Linked DNA regions of Rhinolophus ferrumequinum. The protein of the gene in region 1 interacts with the protein of each later gene in a pairwise test. Links are inferred from orthologs where the notes say so. Each region holds a gene or a part of one and is shown on either strand. Other genes may lie near its edges.

The links. The genes of interacting proteins can lie anywhere in the genome.
Region 2: the proteins of DEUP1 (region 1) and ESRRG interact in binary tests that used the Homo sapiens proteins (3 or more experiments, as listed by UniProt). The two-hybrid records come from large-scale screens. The link is inferred for Rhinolophus ferrumequinum from reciprocal best matches to the Homo sapiens genes DEUP1 and ESRRG.

Annotation. Positions count from the first base shown.
Region 1 is NC_046294.1:64,567,670-64,575,122, reverse strand, and holds the start of DEUP1 (deuterosome assembly protein 1), read right to left. Parts: upstream 3,018-7,453; 5' UTR 2,975-3,017; intron 1,779-2,974; 5' UTR 1,753-1,778; coding exon 1,706-1,752; intron 1-1,705. UniProt on the Homo sapiens protein: Key structural component of the deuterosome, a structure that promotes de novo centriole amplification in multiciliated cells.
Region 2 is NC_046310.1:8,615,129-8,622,710, reverse strand, and holds the start of ESRRG (estrogen-related receptor gamma), read left to right. Parts: upstream 1-4,577; 5' UTR 4,578-4,750; coding exon 4,751-4,806; exon of another isoform or gene 4,807-4,810; intron 4,811-7,582. UniProt on the Homo sapiens protein: Orphan receptor that acts as a transcription activator in the absence of bound ligand. Binds specifically to an estrogen response element and activates reporter genes controlled by estrogen response elements.

The sequences.
Region 1 (7,453 bases):
CCCCCCAAAGAATGAATGAAGAGAAATATCAGTCTCCAAGGCCTCAGATTTGCAGGAGTGAAGTGATATCTGCTACCCATCCTTAGGTTGGAGACCTTCAATCTGCATCTTAGCCCTCTGTGCTATTGTCACACCACGGACCTCACACCTGCTCAATCCAGAATCCTACCCTGGCTCTCCTGTGGATACTAGGTACACTGCTCCCTGAATCGCACTGTCATCCATTTCCAATGTAGCAAAGAATGCAGGGATTGGCACCACACATATCTGAATTCAAATCTTACCTCCTCCACTAACCAATTGTATACGCTGGGGCAAGATCCTGCTTTATTTCTCTTTTTTCTACATTTCTGAGCTCAATGTGGCAGAGGCTGCTAGCTGTCCACCAATATCCGTTATTCTTCCTTTTATTATACAACTGCTAAGCTTTAGTTGGCCATGTGGCTGTCCAGTTAGAAACCACATTTCCCCACCTTCCATGCAACTAGCTGTAGCTCTGGGACTAAGTTCTGGCCAATAGGGAGTGAACAGAAATGAGGCCTGCCTCATTTAGGAGTATGACTTCAAAGTCCTACTCCTAAAAGGAATGGTCTTAAGCTCTCCGCTTGCCCTTCCCCTTTCCCTCTGGCAGGAGCACAGTCATGATGGTGGGAGCTGAAGCAATCACTTCGGGCCCAGAGGTGGAAATCATGCAGTGAGGATGGCAGAGCTACCCTACAAGTCCTGGTCTGCTTCTCTCTGGGCTTGTACAGGAAACAGAAATGAACTTCAGTCTTATTTAAACCACTGTATTTTGGGGTCTCTTTGTTACAAGAACTTAGACTATAACTAATGTGCTCAATTTTCTTAGTTGTGAAATAACAATACCTAACAGGGCAGGAGGAGTGTGCAGGAGGACTTAAAACAGTGAGAGCTATTATTATTGAGACTTGGGCAGCTTTCTTTTAGCCTGATGTTAAAGTCATGATCTGAGCAGAAAAACTGAAAGTGAGACATCTGCAGTGGTTTGACTAGTGCAAAGTCAGTCGGTCAGGATTAGGCACTATAGTGCCATGCCTACCCACTGCCCCACCTCCCCTGCCCAGCTCTGGCGTCAACCAGGGGCCAGTTGGCTAATAAAACAATAGGAACAGAAACCTTTGTGGTGTTGCTGGCAGGGAAGGGGTGGGGACAGATTATTTGTGAGAAGGAATTTAATTCTGAACAATGGCAAATGCTATACAAATTCTATTCCTTATGTCTTCATGAAAGTTTTGGTAAAATATCCAGTTCTTGTTGCTGTTTTGAGGAGCTAGATCTGTTTTGAGGCTATGTTTAAGCATTGAGTTCAGTTTTCAGGGCAAATGTGGGCGGATGCTCAGACACCTGGTGCAACAAGATAGGAGCAAGCAGGCCAGTAGCTGCTTCACTGTGGAAACCTAAGGGCACATGGGGCCAGTGTGGGCACCCATCACCCTAAAAACATTTTAAAAAACTCACTAAGAGTTGGAAAATGGTGATTTTTGTGTGCAGCTCCATAGTCAAAATTTGAAAGACCCAAACTATAGATTCTTAATTAAAGTCTCTTGAATTTACCCCACCCTCCTCACCAAAAATAACTGGCATATTCTTCTATTAATACTGAATTTCAAAATTCCTGTACCGTCAGGGAATTTCTGGCATAGTTAAGTTACAACTTATTAAATAGAAATTTCTCAGCACTTACCCCACTGTATTATGGGCTTGGTTCTCCATGTCAAGAAACTGCTGCATCTGGTTTAAATTTCTTGATTTTTAATCTGTTAGGGAGAAAAATGGTCTAGATTCCTAAAATGCTTACATTTATTAACCTATAAAAAAAGAAAATTTTGCTACTGGCAAACCATTTTCTATGTTTTTCTGAATGGAGTAACTCTTGGTTCTATAAAATGTAGAAACTTGCACATGTCTGTGTGTGTATGTGTATGTGTGTGTGTCCGTGTCCCCATGCTATGAATTGGCTTAATGATGAGTTGAAATATGTGGCACTGACTCAAATGAGCATTCATTCACTGTATATTGAGCAATGGCTTGGTGCCAGGTACTTTGCAAAAGTGCTCAGTACATGAGGTGAGTAAAACAGAATTTCTATTCAAGAGTTGTTCCATCGAAACGCTTGCAAACTTTCCTTTCTTGTGGATCCTCTAAAAGTTTGCCTTTGAGTAAATTCTTTCTTTGGCCCTTTCTGGGTTTTGTTAGAATGAATATCATGAATATTTAAGACAAAAAAACCCCTAAGAATTCTCTAAAAATAGAAAATTCACAATTCCTCAATGGTTCTGTGGGCACCTGTTTACCTGTTTGACAAAATAGGGGTGTTAGTGCTTGCCTAAATTAAAAAAAAAAAAAAAGAAAAGAAAAAGAAAAAGCTTTTCCCAATAACAAAATTTTAACTGAAAAATCATCTATGAGGATAAACGGACAAAGAATTGAATAGGACTTCAATTCCTCTGATTTACTGAATAAAAGTCAATGAAATAGCATTCAAAATGGTAAAAAGGAGAGGTTCACATCACTCTCAAATCAAAGGATTTCAGAGAGACCCTGGAATTGTGTATGTAGACGATGGGCGCGGAGCAGGGATGGGGAACGACGGACAGAAGCATACATTCGTTTTGCAGGTTCTGAATTCCCTCACTTTAACGTCAGAGAAACTGAGGCACGGACTAGCTAGGTGACTTGCCCAAGGCCACACAACTAGAACCTAGACCTTGTAATTTAGGTAGAATCTCTGCTCTGAATTCTGCAAGGACCATCCTGGTATCCCAGGCTCTCCCCACCTGTCGCCCGACCGCGACCCCGACCCCGACCTCCTTGTCCAGACCCACGCAGGGTTCAAGGCCAGCCTCCGTGGAGCGGCCGACCTGCTGTGGTCCCCAGCTCCTCCCGAGCGAGCCCCGCCCGGGGGCCAGGACGAAGATCTGGGGGTGAAGCCGGGGACGCCCGGATGGGTTACCTGCATCACACTGCGCCGCGCTCTCCCGAGAGGTCTGAGGTCCCAGGAGCAGAAACTCCCGGGTCACCGCCCTCCCCGCCCGCCCCGAGGGGCCCCGCCGTCCCCGCCACGTTCCCGCCGTCCGGGCCCGCTCGCCGCGTGGCCACCGAAGCCGTTAGGGCTTCACTTTCCGGGCCAGCAGCCAGGCCGCCGCTTTGCCACTGGTTGCCATGGGGACGCGGTCCAAACTCGCAGCCCGGGGGCCTGGCGGTGGGGGATAGGCTAACCCGCGGGAGGCGTCGGCAGGCGAGGCCTTGCGGGGGCTCCACGGCCACGGAAACCACCCACTCGAGCGCGACCTCTCGGTCCCTCAGTTTTACGCCTGGTTGTTCCCTAGACGAAGGGTACCCTGAGACCACATTCCGGGTCCTTTCCTTTCTGTGGCTCTCCCTACCTAGCCCGGTGTCCAGCATCCAACGGGGGTCCAAGAAATATTTGTTGAATGAATGAAGGAAGGAAATAATGAAGGAACAAAGTGTAAGAAGCGGGGAGTGGGGGTGGAATCTACATCCAAGTTCTTTAAATCAATCCCCTTGGCCCTTCGCCCTCTCACCCACATTTGAAATGATATGAAAAAGAAATAGACTTGGGGTAAAGAGAGAGCTCCCTTTTCAATTCACCGAGATGTCTTCCAGTCGGGAGTAGCTGGATTTCTTTTAACAGCATCGCTCAGTGGACAGCTAGTCTGGTCACGATAACAGCAGAGCTGTACCTGTCTTTTCCCTACAGTGCATTGATTGGAGCCTTAGAAAAGCTCCGTGAGTTAGGCGGGGCAGACTTGCCTCCCTTTTAGGGAGAAGGAAATAGTTCCTAAGTGGGACAGAACACAGAGTGACTGATTCCAAATTCTTTTCTTTTTTCACCAAATTCCAAGAATAATTGATGACAAAAGTTCTGTCACACAGTCCTCATTTGAAAGCAATGATAGGAAAGGATATATACATGTATTTGTGCGTATACATTTTTTTCTACTGATACCTTGAGTGATATATTTAAGTACTTGAATTTTGTGCTTGGAAAATATTCTTGCACCTATTTTGGTAACAGAATTCCTTCCCAATACATACAGTCGATTGATTTCTAATTCTTAAAATCTTTTATTTGCTTTCTACTTTCATAACATTAAGATTAATTTGCTACTTTAATATGGCTATCAATTTAAAACTGACTCCAATCCTTCCATTCAGGTTCAAAAAAACCATTTGCTGTTTTGTGACAAATTGAGTTTCATAGATGAATTGTGTAACAGCAACTCAGGTTATTAGTTCTAATAAGTGTTTCATAGCTCTCATATCATGATTGAATGAAGAGAGTAATAATTTTATCGTAACTTGAAACTTTTCATTATTCTGAAAACCTTAGTCTTATTCTTTATTCTTGTCTAAACTGAATGGGTCAATGTATTTATTCTGACATGAGGAAGAGAAAATGGAACTAGGAATGAAAATTTCCTGAAGTTTCAGGATGCCCAATATCACTCACACTGCGTAGCTCTTTACCATTGGTTCATTCACGTTCATTATTTCCTTAGTTGCTCAGAAGTACCATGTGACACAAGTATAACAGGTGTTATTATAGCTCCTTTCAGCAAATTAGGAACCTAAGCTTTAGGGAGAATAAAGAATTTGTCCTAGATGATACATCTAGACTAAGAGTAGCTAAGAACCTAGACCATCCTACTCAAAGTCCAGTGCTCTTCAAACTATCTCCAATTTAAGGTTGAGTAGATTTCTTGAGCAGTCAGAATGTTGCATAGGTAACTGCAGATGTATTTAAAGCCACATTTTCAAAAGAAAGAATGGGTGTGGGCAGGACTTGCAAAACATAAGCATGTGAAAGAACACAAACTGTGATGTATTTTAAGAAAATTTAAGTATAGAATAGAACCCCGCCCCCGTTTAATTTAATAGGAATGAAGGCTTTCATTTCAGGATGTGACTTAAGGCTTAAAATGCAAAGGCCTGCCTATATCCACCCCAACCCCCACTCCAACCCCCAGTAAGAAGTAACTGCAAAGAAAAATTTACTCTGAAACGTACCTGTTATTAGATCTTTTCATGTGAAATTAATGGAGAGAGCAAAAAAAATCCCTGAGTTTAAAGGAGGGGAAGAATGTGACCAGGGTATTGGCGAGAGCACAGTCCTTAAAGAGAATTGGAGGTCACAGCAGTCAGAATAAGATATAATAAGAAACGGTCAAAAGAAAGTATATAAGGCACATATGGCCGAGGAATGAGGAAAACCAGTAGAAACATCAGATCACCAAAAACAGAACCACAGAAGCTTCAGATTTTGGAATCAGACAGAAATGATGAAAAGTATGGATAGTAAAGGTCTGACAATTAAGTTTCTGAACTTGTTGCAACAATGTTGCTAACCTTTTTTGATATTAGAGGGATTATTCATTATGAATTTGTACCAACTGGACAAACAGTTAACCAAATTTACCATTTGGAAGTGCTGAAAAGGCTGCATGAAAGTTAGATGATCTGAACTTTTTGCCAATAATTCATGGCTCTTGCAACACGACAATGCACCAACTCACACAGCACTGTCTGTGAGGGAGTTTTTAGCCAGTAAGCAAATAACTGTATTGGAACACTCTCCCTACTCACCTGATCTGGCCCCCAGTGACTTCTTTCTTTACCCAAAGATAAAGGAAATATTGAAAGCAAGACATTTTGATGGCATTCAGGACATCAAGGGTAATGGTATGACAGCTCTGATGGCCATTCCAGAAAAACAGTCCCAAAATTGCTTTGAAGGGTAGACTAGGCGCTGGTGTAGGTACATAGCTTCCCAAGGGCAGTACTTGGAAGGTGACCATAGTGATATTCAGCAATGAGGTATGTAGCACTTTTTCTAGGATGAGTTCACAAACTTAATTGTCTGAACTCGTATGCTTAAAGAAGTAAAGGACAAGATTTAAAAAGTCTGCAGGGAGCACTAATATAAAAAAATGACCCACTATATTTGAAAAGGAACTAAATAGAAATTCTAAAGCTAAAAAAATTGCTAATAACCCAAATTAAGAACACAACATATGTGTAAGTGTAGACTTGATACAGATGCAGAAAGAATTTGTGAACTGGAAAACAGATCAAAAGACAGTTTCCAGAGTGTAGGGAAAGATAAAATAATGCAAATATTTTAACATGAAGGTTTTACAACTTTAGTACTTATTAATGGAGTTATTTGTTGTTATGAAAATAAAAAATAGATGATATATGTGAAAATATCTAGTACATGCCTGGCAAATAGTGGGTACTCAAGAAGTATTTATCAAATTTGAAATTAAAAAAATTAATGTGGCCATTTTGCAAATCATCTTTGTCACTTTTTATAATTTCCATTTCTCTGTCAAAATGTCCAAGCTTCTCTTTTATTTTTTTAAACATATTAATCATAGTCATTTTCTATTTTGCGTCTTATAATTCCAGGTTCTGAAATGTTTGCGATTTATTGCCATTAGTTTTTACTCATATCGTGTTGTCTTGTGTGTGTTATGATTTTTTTGGCTAGGAGATAAATTTTTGGTGTAACTTTATTTCTGACATGTTTGAGGCTAAGATCGAGGTTTGGAATCTTCCAGAGAAGATTTACCTTTGCTTTTGAGAGTTGCTTCAGGACATAACAAATCCCAAAACACTTTACATTAAATTCTTCGCAGGATATTTTTTTCAGACAGCATAGGTAATATGAATGAACGAGATAATAACTGTTAGGTTCGGTTTATGATGCACAGTTCCAGACAAAGAACTTTCCTTTATCCAGTGCCAAAGTCAAGATGGGCATGTTTTTTGCTGTTCTATTTTTGTGACTTTTTCTTAAATAAGCTTTTTATTTTAAAATTGTTTTTAGAGTTATAGAGAAAATGTGAAGATAACACAGAGAGTTCCCACATCTAGTAGTGTTTATTACTAACATCTTACATTTGTACAATCCATTTGCCAAAATTAATAAACCAATGCTGATATATTATTAGTAATCAAAGTCCATTCTTTATTCAGATTTTCTTACTTTTTCCTGTTGCAAGATCCCGTACAGTATACCACATTGCATTTAGTTATGTCTTCTTAACCATGTCTTGGCTATGACCTTTCTAAGTATTTTCTTGTTTTTGATGGTCTTGATACTTCTGAGAGGTGCTGGTCTGGTATTTTGTAGAATGCCCCTCAATTGGAATTTGTCTGGTGTTTTTCTCATGATTAGATTGTGAATATGGGTTTGAGGGGAGAGATCACAGAAATAAAGTGCCGTTTTTATCACATTGTATTAAATGTACATAATATCAACATGATTTATGACTGTTGATGTTGATCTTAGTCACCTGGTCGAGATAGTGTTTGTCAGGTCTCTCCACTGTAAAGTTTCTCACCTTTCCCTTTCTATGCTGCACTCTTTAGATGGAGATATTATGTACAGTCTTCACTTAAGAAG
Region 2 (7,582 bases), on another chromosome or scaffold:
GTATATTATTAGCTTGACAAAATGAAAGTGAAATAATCCTGAATTAATTAAACAGAAACTGGGTTGCCTCTATTAGATTCTCTGTCTTCCTTTGATTGTTCCACCCCCCCACCCCCCTCCATCCCCACTCTTTCACAAACACACTGGGAAAAAGTGTTTGGTGTGTTACTGAGGTGATGTAATTGCCCCCCAGAGAATGGGCCTTTTTTTTTTTTTTTTTTTTTTTAACATGGACTCAGTAATTTGGATATGGGATGGATTTACAGGACAAGTGGTTTGTCAAAAGGAGAGGATTTTATTAGTGCTTCTGTGGAAGTGATCATTTTCAGTAGACATGATTGCTTCTTGCCAATCGAGACAATAATTTAAATATCAAAGCCTGTGCCCTAGAAATGAAAAGCAACAGAAAATGAGGTATGATGAATTGATAGAGGTTTGGTGGAAATATAGAGTAAAGTAGGCATACGGACGTCGCAAGACGGCTTCGTGATCTCAGTGGGAAAAGTATGTTAAGCAGGTTTCCAGCATAAAAGAAATCCCAAGGCCCAGAGGAGGAAACTAGAGACAGATCAGTGAGGTGACCTGCTCAAGGCCACACAACTCATGACGGGGCAGAAGGGAGTTTGGGCTTCAGGCTTCCTGCTTGTCCTCTAAGCATTTTTTTCCAGGGATCCTCATTGTGTGTTTTCTTTTGGTGTTAAAGTTAGGAGTTTATAAGAGTCTTGGTTTGCTTTCTGTAGCATTGGTATGTTACATAACGTGCGCTATATGAAAGACAGCAGGAAAGAGCGTTCAAAAAGCCAAACAGCTTTTCAAAGGTTTTATGATCTGGGGGAAAGATCTGCAGAGGTAGATTACGAGGCAATTCGAAAAAAATCTATAAATTTGCGATGCCTCGTTGGGTTTTAAATATTTAACAAATGGCACCTGTGCAATACAAAAATCAAAATTTGCTTCCAACATTAGGGCAGTGACTATATGCATGTTAATTCAGGTTAGTCCTGTTAATTTTCAGAAAAGGAAAGTGGGACCTAGAAATAGCTGTTAATATGCAGTAATGATAGCAAGACTGAAGCGGTCTCATCACCTTTTAGCAACAGAAGTATGCATTAGTAGAATGTTTTAGGAAATGATGCTGATTAAAATACAGTAAAAATTCTGCTATAGACACCAGGGATCTATCTACCTTTTGTTTCCACTTCAGTTTTGTTTATTGCCATTCCTTGTTTCAAATGGAAACGAAATACATTTTCTGCCTGGTGTCCCTGTGTCACTTGGCGCCTAAGAATGCGGTTGTTTGGATTGTGGGACTATATTGTTTGAAGAACATGTTGACACTATGATTGGACACTGGGCATGATGCATAATAGACTGATATTAACTAATTTATTAATATTCTTTGTGAAACAATCCGAAGAGGTCCTTTTGTTTGGTCCCATGTATCCTGCTTTGGGTAGACTCCTTGTGGTAAGATTGTGAAGTGTTAGCAAAATGTGTTATTCTAGGCTGTTATCTATTTGTTTCATTTCCCGCCCCCAAATCCTTGAAGTTGTGACTCTTAACGGTTTATGCCCAGTATTGCTCGTGCTGTGTATATTTCCTGTGATTATCCGCTCTTTCCTCTTTCAAGATGAGAAAACTCTATCACTCGGGAAGATTCTTGAACTGACTAAGCTATGTGTTTAGAAAATATTCTGGAGGCTATCTCACAAGTTTAGGGCCATAGAGATCATTTTAAATTTTAAATTGGTTAAACTGGATTCAAGACAGTAGGTGTAATCTTAGGTCCTGGACTTGTAGAGGTGACATATTAATCCCAAGGGGAAAACAGAGAGCTCTGAAAACCTAGTGCACTTCTGGTCATTCGGAAAGCAGCTAGCTTAGTGGACACTGCACCTTGCATAGATGAAATATGGTTCCTGAGAGATCAATGGGGACTAAACTGGGGACGCTTGTACATGGATCTCTGTGAGCACAGAAAAAAGACGTACACATGAATATGAGTCTAACCATGTTAAAAATCTATATATACTAACAAAATCAAATGGTTCATAATGGGTCAAATAAGTACCTAAAGGGCATAAGAAAATTCTGGGAAATAAAAGATAACTCCTGTGAAATGTGGTGACTTAAGGTCCATCGGTAAATAATTGACGACAAATCTTGTCTTTAAAAAGCCATTTCGACGGAGGAATAAACAGGTTCTGTCACAGCATGATAATGCAAAGAAACTGACGGCAGTACAGGATTCTGCACAGGTGCAGAATCTGAATGCGTCGATCCATTAAATAATTTATTATTATTATTTTTAAGTAGGTCTCTGGATAAAGTAAGAAGAAAACTTTTTTTTTTGTAAATCTTTTAAAAATATGTAACAATTGGATCCATTCAGTACCCAGAAGATTTCAGTTTATTCAGAAGTCAAGATAGTAATCTGAATCAAAGATATTTTTTAAGCTGTCTTTATAATGCAGTATTAGCTTCCATATTTCTTTTATTGTATTTCAGAAAAATCATGTTTCTTTTTCAAATGCCTTTTCATTTATTTTTTAATTACAAAGTGATTCCATGTCTCATTTTAGATTGAATAGGCAAATCTTCCCCCACTCCTTGGTATCTGCAGAATGCTTGGATATTCTACATCTCAAAGCTCTTTTAATTCACTACTCACAACCAAATTTACATCTTAATTGCAGAGTTCACATTTAACAATATAGACAGCATAATGCTACTAGTAATTAAGCTTTTACTACCTGCTTTTATACAGTATTTTCAGGCACAGTTTTTGCTATGTGAGTTCCCCTCTAGAAACTTGTATGTATTTAAACCACAAATAAAAGGAATCAGGCCTGTATCTTAGCTCTGACTAAATACATGGTAGAAAAATTGCTTTTTTTCAGTGGGGGGACCAAATGATGCCTGTCGTTTTTATATTCTGCATTTTAATGTGGTTGTTCTATTTTTGTATTGTGTTTTGTTTTGTTTTTTGAAGACCTAGAAAATTTGAGAGCATTGAGAAAAAGAATCAAGTTCTGATTTAGTGAATTTAACACACGCTGACTATCTGAATTAATTTATTTTAATTTCAAAGATTATACTATTTATGTCATGTAAGACATTTGATACAAAAGGTTGGTAAGCAGTAGCACTGCATTATATCAAAATTGTGAGACTTCCACTCTCCATACGGTAGCAGTCATCTCTTTGCCATAAATAGGTGGTATTTATTCCAAGTACATTTGCTAGTCTAAAAAATCCTGTATTTTAAAATAGCACCTAACAAAACTCTTTGTCACGTGGAAACTGAAAACACGCTATATACTATTGGAGGAAAAAACACCCTCCTCTTCTTATATTCTCTGAAAAAGATACTTTTTATTGAGAATTCTTATTTTTGTAAATTATTATGTTTGAAGCTAGTCCTTATAATGATCAGACTGTGTGATGATTTCCAAAATATTTCTGAGCTGATTTTTTTTAAAGTATTCAGGGTGTATTATGTATAGGAACAAATATGTAAACAGCCTTTTATTAGAAAGCTGATCTTTTGGGTAAAATCATATATATTTGTATATGTCTCCTAGTTTGGAAGCTTGTATTGAAATAAGTATATGACTGAGAACACTTGGAGTGCACTATTTTGTGATGCTCTCCCTACCATAAAAAATAAAAAATAAAAAATGCAGCCTTTATTTTGTCAAAATGCTCTGAGATGGATTTTAGGTACCATTTACACTACAGTTCTCAGTCTCCCATCCCTGAAAGTGGAAAAGCCAATTTGTCCTGCAGTTTTGAAAAGCTATGCATCGTATATCTATAGGTAGGGAGACAGCAGCAGGTAAAGAAATGTTTACACAGATAATTTAAATAGGCATCCTCTCAAAATTGTCTCCAGGCACTATTTCCCCACTCTGTACTTGTGAAAAACTGAATTCCTCCTCAAAGATGAGATCTCCATTCACCTGCCCCAACAATTGAGAAGAATATCTTTGATTCTTTAAACTGCCCCGTCTACATCAGGAAAACAGGAAAAGACACGATGACGAATGCACGAGAAAGTACAGCGCTCAATAAGCCGCAGCCCCCAGTGGAGTAGGACACACACAACCGCAGGACAAACTTCATTCTCTACCTTCCCGCAGAATCCTTTCCCAAATTAACTGAGAGTCTGCGTGAGTTCTTCTTTGCAAGGCAAAACGGATCTTACGTAGGAGAGAAACCCAATGCCTCCAGTGCTTAGAGAGTTAAGTTAGTTATGTTTCTTTGGCAGCTTCCCAGGAAAAAAAAAAAAGAGAGAGAGAGAAAGAAAAAAAGAAGAAAGGAAAGGAAAGGAAAAAGAAAAGAGAGGAAAGCAGAAGCCCAGGATCCACAGACTGCGTTTCTATCCCTGGTCTTGGCTCTCTGTTTCTCTCCCACTCTGTTTTCACCCCTTGCTTGTCTGCACCCGTCCTACCTGCCTGGCTGCGTTGCTCGGTGCAGCCTCCCGTGGCCTCCCTCCTGATTGGGCAGACGCCCCCCAATCGGCTGCGCGGCTGGGCCAGTGGGACTGCATATGTAAAGCCCTACTTCATATTAATAAGCTCCAATCGGGGCTTTAAGTCCTTGATTAGGAGAGTGTGAGAGCTTTGGTCCCAACTGGCCGTGCCTATAGGCTTGTCACTAGGAGAACATTTGTGTTAATTGCACTGTGCTCTGTCAAGGAAACTTTGATTTATAGCTGGGGTGCACACATAATGGTTGCCGGTCGCACATGGATTCGGTAGAACTTTGCCTCCCTGAATCTTTTTCCCTGCACTACGAGGAAGAGTAGGTACCTTTTTCTTTCCTTTTTAAAACTCGGCGTGGGGGTGCGTGTGTCTCAGTGTGTGTGTGTGTGTGTGTGTGTGTGTGTGTGTGTGTGTGTGTGTGGAGGGGGGTGGACAGAATGTCTCTTTGCACACTGATTCAGGTAATGCCCTGGGTGTTTTGTGTGCACTGTGCTTGTTTGCGTCTGTCTGGTGCCTTTTGTGTGGAGCGTGATCTCCTAATTCAGTAAGTCGAGAATTGTTCTGACTACAATATTACCTTTGAGGCGAAGCTCAGTGACTGTCCGTAAAACAGCTGTGTGACAGTCACTTCTTATTCAGGTGCTAAGAATAGGCACTTGGCACAAATGCTTAGTGAACTGTTAAAATGCATCTTTTCCTAGGACCCATTTTCCCAAGGAAAGATGTTTTAAAATACAATATTCAAAATGATTTATACTATGGAGCGCTTCTTATGGATGTGCAGTTTGACAGATATTTTCAGCGCCCTGTCATTTCTTAACCCGGCAGAGTTAGAGGCAAAATTGCACATTTACTAATTCTCCTTCAGAAAACAATTTAAAAACTAGCCCTTTGCAGTTCAGGGCTAGAATAATGTTATTTGCATGGTTAGCGTTAAGTCAGCACTTAACTGACAAATCAGTCCATTAAGTAACATGAGATTTTCACACATTATTAATATTTAAGGGAGAAAAAAAGCCCTAAAGAAACAGTAGTGACTTTTAAAATTTCCCCTTGAAGAGACTCTGTTGAGATTGTGAATTTGTTTCGTGATTCATGTCCAGAAAATATAGAAAAGTAGTTTTGTTCTTACATGCAGTTTAATTTGTATTTATGAACATCTTTATGCCCATGGATCTATATATTTGGATTAGTAAAGGTGGGGTAGATAGGGGGTTAGGTGAAGTAAATTAGGCATTCCTGTATAAATGAGTAGGTCATAAACTTAATTTCAACCCACTGTTAAGATAAAATATTAGTATGTCACTGGAGCTGTCACTGGTCCATCTTTCTGTTGAGTCAGTTATATTGCTTTGCTTTCAGATTACATTAATATCAACTGTTATAATAATTCTGAAAAGAGTGCTCTTGGCAAACATTTCTCTCTATAGATTGTGGAGAAAATATAAAACTGTAGAAGATGAGGCAGTGCATTATAGGGAAATGTCCACTAGCTGTCCTTAGTGATTGCATATTGCACTGCTTTGTAATTAAGTAAGAGATGAAAGTGACTTGCAGCCTGAGTGGCTGTGTGTGTGTGTGTGTGTACACACACACAGACTCATATACACACTCATGCAGAGGATATTAGCCAAGAGGTAGACTTAGGAAGAGCTGAAAGGTTGGAAGGCTGTGCTTCCATCAGTTGGAAACACTCGAGAAACAAGCTTAAACTGTGTGAAAATAAAAATGAAAAATAAACAAAAGTAGGACTGCGCACTCCAATGTAGGGTGAAGGTTAGAGGACTGGGGACTGGAGAATTGGAGAGTTTAAAATGTCTTCATGTCAGGAAGAACACATTATCCGAACTCACCCAGGTTCTGAACTTTTCTCTCTTAAATAAAGAAATAAAAGAAACTTTAAAAATCCCCTAGAGGCGTCTTTTTAAAGTAGTTTCCTTGAATTTAACTTTTATAGCTAATTTGAATAATTGGTTTAGATAAGCCTCTTAAAGCAGATGCATTTAAATGAAATCAGGGCACATGTCCTTTTGGCTTTGGCGCAAGATTCAAACTAGCTTTCTTTTGGGCTCCATTAAAAGTCATCTTTAAAAAAAATACAGATTTATTGTCTGGATGCAGTTCTGATGGTTACGTGGTTCACTGGACAGACAGAAAGATCTAATGCTAAGCAACACATCTGCCTCTCTGTCTCAATTAATAAACCCTAGAATTTATACATGCTATTAATATTCATAGTAATTGTACTGGGTTAAACCCCATCACGTGTGTGTATACATAGAAATGAAACCAGTTATGCAGTTTCACAGGAAAATATTGGACAATTTCTGCTTCGGAGGCGATTAAAAAAAGGTTCGTACAATTTATTGACCACCGTTAGAAGAGCCTAAAATGTTAACCTATAACTATGTATTTTTTTTTTTTTAATTTAGGAAATGGGCCAGCACATTAAAGAACATAATACTTGAAAGCTTGTTTCACATTTAATAGCAGTAATAACTGATAGCATAAATAGATGAAAATAATATATCTGCTCATTTTGACATACGTGTCAGTCTAATCATGCTAAATGAGTGTGCTCATCACATGAATCCCTTTCAACCTCTGATTAAAATGTAACATTGACTACAGGATTATAGAGCGGACTTAATTTTACTGACTGTTTTAACAGTTGTCACAGCTGTTGGAAGAAGGAAAGGCAATTGAAACACTCCAAAACAGGCAAGACGAGGAGGGAATAGTTCAGTAAATTTCAGCTTGATCACTGAAATCCAGACACTGACAATTAAACAAATTTGGGTTTTCAGAATGCTGTTTGGAGCTATGTAAGTTTTATTTTGCATGGTCCACTCTTTCTGTTTCAGGGTTTTGGTTATTTTTTTTTTTCTCTGCCTCATCTCTCCTTATTAGAAGCTGAAGTAAATTGAAATATAACTGTCCAAAAGTAATACTGTAATGTCAAAATCTATGGGATAAAAATAGACAGGAAGGAAAAATGTATACAGTAACAACAACAGAAAGCTTAAATCAGAGTGGATGCAATTTTTTTTTTTAAAGATAAGAGCTTGCCTAAGCCACTATAGGTGTGATATTAT